Xenopus tropicalis: one gene and its partner. The protein of the gene in region 1 interacts with the protein of each later gene in a pairwise test. Links are inferred from orthologs where the notes say so. Each region holds a gene or a part of one and is shown on either strand. Other genes may lie near its edges. The genes, in order: klhl40 and c7orf31.

Evidence for each region.
Region 2: the proteins of klhl40 (region 1) and c7orf31 interact in a two-hybrid assay, tested with the Homo sapiens proteins (2 studies listed by BioGRID and IntAct). The two-hybrid records come from large-scale screens. The link is inferred for Xenopus tropicalis from reciprocal best matches to the Homo sapiens genes KLHL40 and SPMIP4.

Annotation. Positions count from the first base shown.
Region 1 is NC_030682.2:9,354,305-9,358,643, forward strand, and holds the start of klhl40 (kelch-like protein 40), read right to left. Parts: upstream 2,825-4,339; 5' UTR 2,783-2,824; coding exon 1,652-2,782; intron 1-1,651. UniProt on the Homo sapiens protein: Substrate-specific adapter of a BCR (BTB-CUL3-RBX1) E3 ubiquitin ligase complex that acts as a key regulator of skeletal muscle development.
Region 2 is NC_030682.2:41,121,854-41,125,674, forward strand, and holds part of c7orf31 (uncharacterized protein C7orf31 homolog), read left to right. Parts: intron 1-909; coding exon 910-1,089; intron 1,090-2,058; coding exon 2,059-2,130; intron 2,131-3,821. UniProt on the Homo sapiens protein: Microtubule inner protein (MIP) part of the dynein-decorated doublet microtubules (DMTs) in flagellum axoneme. May serve to reinforce and thus stabilize the microtubule structure in the sperm flagella.

The DNA of each region.
Region 1 (4,339 bases):
GGGTCACTGTTGGCCCCCATCTAATTTACAAACTCCCCCTTTCCCCACTTCTCTGATCATTTATCTGATATTGGTGGTGCAAAATGGAACACTTCTTTAGATACTAGGTGTCTAGTATAGTAGGTATAGTCTGTTCTGGTATAGTAGGGAGAGATGGTGCCTATAGTAGCAGTGGGGGGATAATAGCCTCTGGGAAGGGACTGGGGCTGTGGGATAGCAGGTATAGTAGGGAGAGATGGTGCCTATAGTAGCAGTGGGGGGATAATAGCCTCTGGGAAGGGACTGGGGCTGTGGGATAGCAGGTATAGTAGGGAGAGATGGTGCCTATAGTAGCAGTGGGGGGATAATAGCCTCTGGGAAGGGACTGGGGCTGTGGGATAGCAGGTATAGTAGGGAGAGATGGTGCCTATAGTAGCAGTGGGGGGGATAATAGCTTCTGGGAAGGGACTGGGGCTGTGGGATAGCAGGTATAGTAGGGAGAGATGGTGCCTATAGTAGCAGTGGGGGATAATAGCCTCTGGGAAGGGACTGGGGCTGTGGGATAGCAGGTATAGTAGGGAGAGATGGTGCCCATAGTAGCAGTGGGGGGATAATAGCCTCTGGGAAGGGACTGGGGCTGTGGGATAGCAGGTATAGTAAGGAGAGATGGTGCCTATAGTAGCAGTGGGGGGATAATAGCCTCTGGGAAGGGACTGGGGCTGTGGGATAGCAGGTATAGTAGGGAGAGATGGTGCCTATAGTAGCAGTGGGGGATAATAGCCTCTGGGAAGGGACTGGGGCTGTGGGATAGCAGGTATAGTAGGGAAAGATGGTGCCTATAGTAGCAGTGGGGGGATAATAGCCTCTGGGAAGGGACTGGGGCTGTGGGATAGCAGGTATAGTAGGGAGAGATGGTGCCTATAGTAGCAGTGGGGGGATAATAGCCTCTGGGAAGGGACTGGGGCTGTGGGATAGCAGGTATAGTAGGGAGAGATGGTGCCTATAGTAGCAGTGGGGGGGATAATAGCCTCTGGGAAGGGACTGGGGCTGTGGGATAGCAGGTATAGTAGGGAGAGATGGTGCCTATAGTAACAGTGGGGGGATAATAGCCTCTGGGGAAGGGACTGGGGCTGTGGGATAGCAGGTATAGTAGGGAGAGATGGTGCCTATAGTAACAGTGGGGGGATAATAGCCTCTGGGGAAGGGACTGGGGCTGTGGGATAGCAGGTATAGTAGGGAGAGATGGTGCCTATAGTAGCAGTGGGGGGATAATAGCCTCTGGGAAGGGACTGGGACTGTGGGATAGCAGGTATAGTAGGGAGAGATGGTGCCTATAGTAGCAGTGGGGGGATAATAGCCTCTGGGAAGTCTGCCCAGCACCCAAAGCGGGAGGTAATGCTGTAGGCAATGGGGGGGGGGTGGAACTAGGGATAGGGAAAAGAGGTACAGTATGTCCCTACACCTCCCTCAACCGTTGCACCTAGGCACATACCTCTTCTACTTACCCCTACTTATAGTAACCCTATATTTGGTAGAAACCACATTACTGTTTCACCAGGAGACAAAGCGCAGGCAGTGACCCCCCTTCCCTCTACCCCATGATTATACTGGGGGGGGGTAAATATATACACAATACTCTCCCCCAATCAACACAAATGACTAAAGACCATACCTGCAGGAAGTAAGAGCTCAGTGGGTCGTCCTTGTTTTCCTCATTATAATAAAGGCCGCCAGCTACAAAGAGTTGGTTCTCCTTAGTGGCCAGGCTGACGTGGTTTTTGGGGATCTGGGCGGAGAGTGAGGCGAAGAAGCATTCGTTAGCGCTTGGGTCGTAGGCCACCGCCCCAGTGTCGCTGATCATGAATATCATATCCTTTAGAAACATGCCGAACCTGAGCGTGTCGTTCAGAATTCCAGGAAGGGCTTCTTCCTCTTCCTCCAAGTCCCCGTTGACTACGCCTTCCCCATCTTTGCCCTCACTCGCTTTTGAAGGGGTTTTCTTTACGGCCGCAGGTAATTTTCCTTCTTGGGCGTCTTTGACCATCTGGAGTTTCTTCAAGAGTTCCTTGTCGGACTTGACCAACTCGTGCTTCTCCACCTTGTTCTTTATATAGTCTTGGGGTATAAGGCGGAAGCGAATGCTCTCAAAGATGATGGGCAACGCCTTGGCGCGTTTTTCTTTCTCTTTCAACGCCCATTTCAGGACCACCTCAAAGACTTCTTCTTCCTTCTCAATGTTGAGGGAGTCGCTGGAGATAACGGCAATCAGCTCATCGGGGGAAAGGTCGTAGAACTCTTCGTCTCTGGCAATCAGGTGGAATCGGTCGCATACAAAGTCCCTGGCGGAGACGGCCAGACGGGGACAATCCAACAGCAAGCCCAGGCGGAATATGGCCAGACAGTTGCTAAGGCAGAGCTTCTTCTGGAGGAAAGACACACACACTGTGAATATCGAGGGGATCTGGAACATGTTGGCCACCGAGAATATGTCCTGGACGTTCTTCTCTGTGATCTCGATCTCAGAAGTGTAGATATAATGGAGGATCTTCCCCATCACGTCTGGATCGACATCTTCTAGGTCAATTTCCTTCTTCTTGCCCTCCTCCAGGTTGGAAAGGAACATGGCTCGGAAGTAAGGGCTACAGGCGGCCAGCACCAGGCGGTGGCAGGGAAACTCCTTGCCCTGGATCTTTAGAACACAGTCTATAAAGTTGTCGTGGTCCAGCATGTCCTTGAGTCCATCTTGGAGCAGAGTTTGCTGGTAGAGGCGCAACTCATCAGCCTGCTGGGTCGGTAAGGCCATGGCTTGGTTCTCCTTTGCCCTCAGAGCTCGGGCAGCGTCGGAGTTACAGCAAAGAGTGAATGAATCAGAAGGGAAGGAGGAATTTCTTTTCCTGTTGGAAGCCTCCTGCTTATCCAGCTGACTTTGCTCTTCAGCTGCGAGTCTTTATATAGAACAGCCCCATTACAAAGCCCCTGTAAGACGATCACTCTCTGACACATTGAGCTCCCTGGTGGGACAGCTGCCCCGGGCCGACTAGAAGCACCAGGAATTTGCGCCGGATCGTGACTCATCACCCCCATGGACCTTTTTTTTCTGTCTCCTCGTTACAGAGAAGCCTCTGACGGCTTTTCCAGGGAAACGATTCACAGCATTCGGACCAATGTAATGAGCCAAAAACTGCCCATGATGGCCACATTGACAGAAATAGGCATACTGTCACCTTGCGCTGCAAGTTGGAGTGATATCCCCCCCCCCTCACCCCCAGCAGCCGATCAGCAGAACAATGGGAAGGGAGCAAGATAGCAGCTCCCAGTAGGTATCAGAATAGCACTCAATAGTAAGAAATCCAAGTCCGGCTTGGGACTCCTCCAGTTACACGGGAGTAGGAGAAACAATAGGTTAGCTGAAAGCAGTTCTAATGTGTAGCGCTGGCTCCTTCTGAAAGCTCAGACTCAGGCACACTTTACTGCTGCGCTGCAAGTTGGAGTGATATCCCCCCCCCCTCACCCCCAGCAGCCGATCAGCAGAACAATGGGAAGGGGGCAAGATAGCAGCTCCCAGTAGGTATCAGAATAGCACTCAATAGTAAGAAATCCAAGTCCGGCTTGGGACTCCTCCAGTTACATGGGAGTAGGAGAAACAATAGGTTAGCTGAAAGCAGTTCTAATGGGTAGCGCTGGCTGAAAGCTCAGACTCAGGCACAAGGCACTGAGATGGCGCCTACACACCAATATTACAGCTACAAATACATTTATTGGTTGAAGAATAAAAGGTTAAATGGCAGAGGGAATTATTTGCTGTGTAACAGTGTCATTTAGAGATAGCAGAGGGGGCGGGGCTCCTGTATCAGGACTCTCTGTACCAATTGTGTGAGTGCTGCTAATCCGGCTGGGAGTTAGAGTCCTGTTAGAGCGCTGGCAGATAGTGAGGCAGTGATGTGGGGGCTATAATTAATGCCGGCTATGGCCGTCGGTATGTACAGCTGCTGGCTAAAAATAGGAGCTCAGTAAGGGCCCTGCAGTTTAAAATTCTTGCCATGAATCAAACTACCCCAGGGCGGGGCCCTTCCGGCCCTGTAATCATTCTAACGCTCTGATTGGATACAGGTTGGTCTAGCCCTGGGATCATTCTAACGCTCTGATTGGATACAGGTTGGTCTAGCCCTGGGATCATTCTAATGCTCTGATTGGATACAGGTTGGTCTAGCCCTGTGATCATTCTAATGCTCTGATTGGATACAGGTTGGTCTAGCCTTGTGATCATTCTAATGCTCTGATTGGATACAGGTTGGTCTAGCCCTGGGATCATTCTAATGCTCTGATTGGATACAGGTTGGTCTAGCCCTGGGATCATTCT
Region 2 (3,821 bases), about 32 Mb from region 1:
ACTGATAGTAACAGTAACATAGTAACACAGCAATTTAGGTAAGAAAAGACACACATCCATCAAAGTTCAACCTTTTATGTCTATTCAAAACCTGCCTAACTGCTAGTCGATCCAGAGGTAGGCAAAATACCCTTCTGAAGCCTCTCTAATTTGCCGCAAAAGGGGGGCAAAAATTCCATCCTGACTCCAAGATGGCAGTCGGACCAGTCCTTTGATCAACTTGTAGTAACAACTGATTTCAGTAGCCCTATATTTCCTGCCTTGCTAAAAAGCCACCCATCCACTTCTTAAAGCTATCTAATGTATCTGCCAGTACAACTGAGAGAGAGAATTCCACAGCTTCCACGTTCCATGTTCTGACATATGAAAATGGAATTTCCTTTCTTCTAATCCCAATCCTAATTTGGTCAGTTTTTCCTCATAACTAGCACTTTTCATACCCTTTGTATTCTTTACTGATCTATGGATTTTCTCTGTTTCATTAAAATTATTTTTAATGATTGAAAATCAAAACTGCGCTTCATATTCATAATGGGGCCTTACCAGTGTTTTGTAAAGATGATCCTTTAGTCTTTTTAATCTATTCACCTTTTAATACAGCTCAAAACTTGCTGGCACTTACTACTGCTGACTGGCTAGCTTGTTCACACAAGTTTATTATCCACAAGAATACATAATATATTGCTTACAGTGTCCACCTTAAGTAATTAATGAAATAATTAAATGAAATGGGACTCAATAAAAAATCCTTCCTCTGTTTTTTAATGAATATTTCAAACTGAATTGTAAAATCATGTAATCAGGGCCCACTGATTCATTTTATTCTGGAATCCTAGATTGTTACATTTTGTTACAAGTTGAAAAGAACCTGAACTATATAAATAAAGTTGTTGAAATGATGATTTACAGCTATGAAGAATATCTTTCCAAGTTGAGCACACCAGCGAGGCTTCCATGGGGAAGAGAAAGAGAATATGGGGGAATAGGTCCAGTGTGCCTTCCGAACAATCACAGACCAAAGGCAGAACCTCCTCCTCAAGAAGCCAAGGGGCACAAGCACTATGGCTATGGGGGAGACCCCTGGCCAAGGTAAATGGACATAACATTACACAATGCCACCTATTTGCTCAGCAAATAATAACAAATAAGCGCAACAATCAAATTTTCTTCTTTTGAAGCATTAGTATCAGTTATAGTGAAGATAGCATTAACACCCCTTAGATTAATCCAGTGTAAAACAAATATAATTTAATACTGTTGCAGAATTACGGGTACCACGGGTTTCACTAAGAGAAATAATACAGAGAAATAGTCATTCTTTTGCACTGCAAATTAAATCAGTACCTGAGACAGGAGGTATTAGCAGTAGACTTAACCTAGCTAATAAATTACTTAAATACTGTTATTACACAATTAGCCAGGGCCGGAACTAGGGGTAGGCAGAAGAGGCAGCTGCCTAGGGGTCAACTATTGGCGGGCGCCAGGTGGGTGGCCGACCAGGTTGACTAGGGCGCCCGGTCGGCTTGGCCCGCCCCTGCAATTAGCATCCCTATTTTAAATTAATACTCAGTTTTACACATGATTTAATAATCACCATTTATTAAATGGTCATATGTTAGCTTTTTGTCACATAATGACATGGCTGTGCAAGAGAAAGTTATTGTTGGCGAGCTACACTGTCCTCTCCAAAGTCAGATGGGTAAGGTTCAGAGAAACACTCATCTGGGAACACTGCCTTGCACTTGCTGTTTCTGCGCCTTGCACCTCGCCCCTCACACTGGATTTTTTACTGGTGCAGGGTGCAGAGGGCACCCAGCCTATGGACGCAAATGTTCTCAGAATAGACGCTAGGGGCGTACATTTGCTCCCTTTAGTGCTCTTGCACTTTGTTTCCAGGGTGTCTGTAAAAGGTCCCCCATAAATATTACCTGTACAGCAGGTTGGAAAAACTATAACCAGTAAGTAAGTAATGATGTAACAAATCAAGCTCAGCCTTTACTTGTCACTGCATACATATTATTCTGGTGTTTGTTAGAATTTCCATGTCTCTATTTACAGAGGGCTTCCAATTGAGCAGTACTACGACATAACCCAGCTGAGAAAGAGTGCAGTGCGTGCCAGCGATGATTTGTAAGTAAACAGGTCATCCCATGAGTCAGTCACTGGTTCATAATGTACTTTTCCTGTGAATGGTATGTACCTGCATGTACGATCACACTGAACATAATTATAATAACTTTAAAGAATCTATCTTTATACTTACTGTGCATGTACTTTATTTAAATACTCAACAGTTGTCAAACAGGTTGGCCCTGTTAACTTGTAGTGTTATAGTGTTAACTTATAAGGGTCATGAAAGTGAAATTATTTGTGGGGAGGTTAACTTTTAGTTAGTAAATTGCGTTAACTTCCACTTTGCTTTTTTGCAATTCATTGGATTACTGTAAAATAAATGGACCCAATAAAAAGAGTGAGGGGAACATAAAAAGCTGTGCTGGGTTGTTGGAGAGCAGCTCTGTCTGTTAGCACAGTGCTAGAGCCAAGCAGATTCAGATCAGCCTTCATATTCAGTTCCCCCTTGGGCTGCTGGCCAAGCATCCTTCAAAGAGATGAGGAAGAGGAGAGCAAGAAAAGATATTTATGTGCTAAATTGCTTGTTCATTTCTATTTGCTGTTTTTTCAAGATATTTTGCTTTCATATTATTGCGTTTCAAGCCTGCTAAATATTTACACTTGTACAACCACAATCATTTTGTTTAAGTACGGTCTGTGCTCTTACACCATTCCTCACAAAACTAGTAATATTTTGAACATCTGCACTTTTTGCAGGGGCATGGCCTCAGGTTTATGGAGATGTTAAAATCTGCTGCATCACCATGTGTTTGCTATACCTCTTGTATTCAAGACTAAAGTTTAAATAATTCTAGCAGTAGTGGTTAGTGACTCAGCCTGTGAGCCACATCATTGTGCTTAGACACATGCCTCTTCTTTCTGCCCATAGTATATGCACAAAAACCGTTTATGAATGGTGTTAATGTGCACACAATCTGTTTTAGTGTGCTGCACTTGTGTTTGTAACATATATACTGGTAGTAAAAACGTAGTAACATAGTAAGTTAGGTTGAAAAAAGACACACATCCATCAAGTTCAACCGTAATGCCTATATATAACCTGCCAAAATGCTAGTTGTTCCAGAGGAAGACAAAAAACCCCATCTAAAGCCTCTCCAACTTACCTCAGACAGGAAAAAAATCCTTCCTGACTCCAAGATGCAAGTAGACTGGTCCCTGGGGGTATTTTCAATAACCCAATCTAATATATCAGCCAGTACGACTGATTCAGGGAGAGAATGCCATAACTTCAAGGCTCTCACAGTTAAAAAATCCTTTCTGAATATTTAGTTGGAGCCTCCTTTCTTCTAAACAGAGTCAGTGCTCTCGTGTCAGTTGGAAGGACCTACTGTTAAATAAAGCATTATAGAGATTATTATATGATCCCCTTAAATATTTAACATAGTTATCATATCACCCCTTAAATGCCTCTTCTTCAGTGTAAACAGCCCTAACTTGTCTTTCTTCATAACTGAGACTTTCCATACCTTTACCAGCTTAGTTGCCCTTCTCTGGACCCTCTCTAACTCAATAATGTCCCGTTTGAGCACTGGAGACTAAAATTGAATGCATATTCTAGATGGGGCCTTACCAGCACTTTGTAAAGTGGAAGAATAACCCCCTCCTCCCATTAATTTATGCCCCTTTTAATACAGCTTTGTTTGTACATTAGTCTTTTTATATTTGTCCTTAATATCCTTTTGGATCTG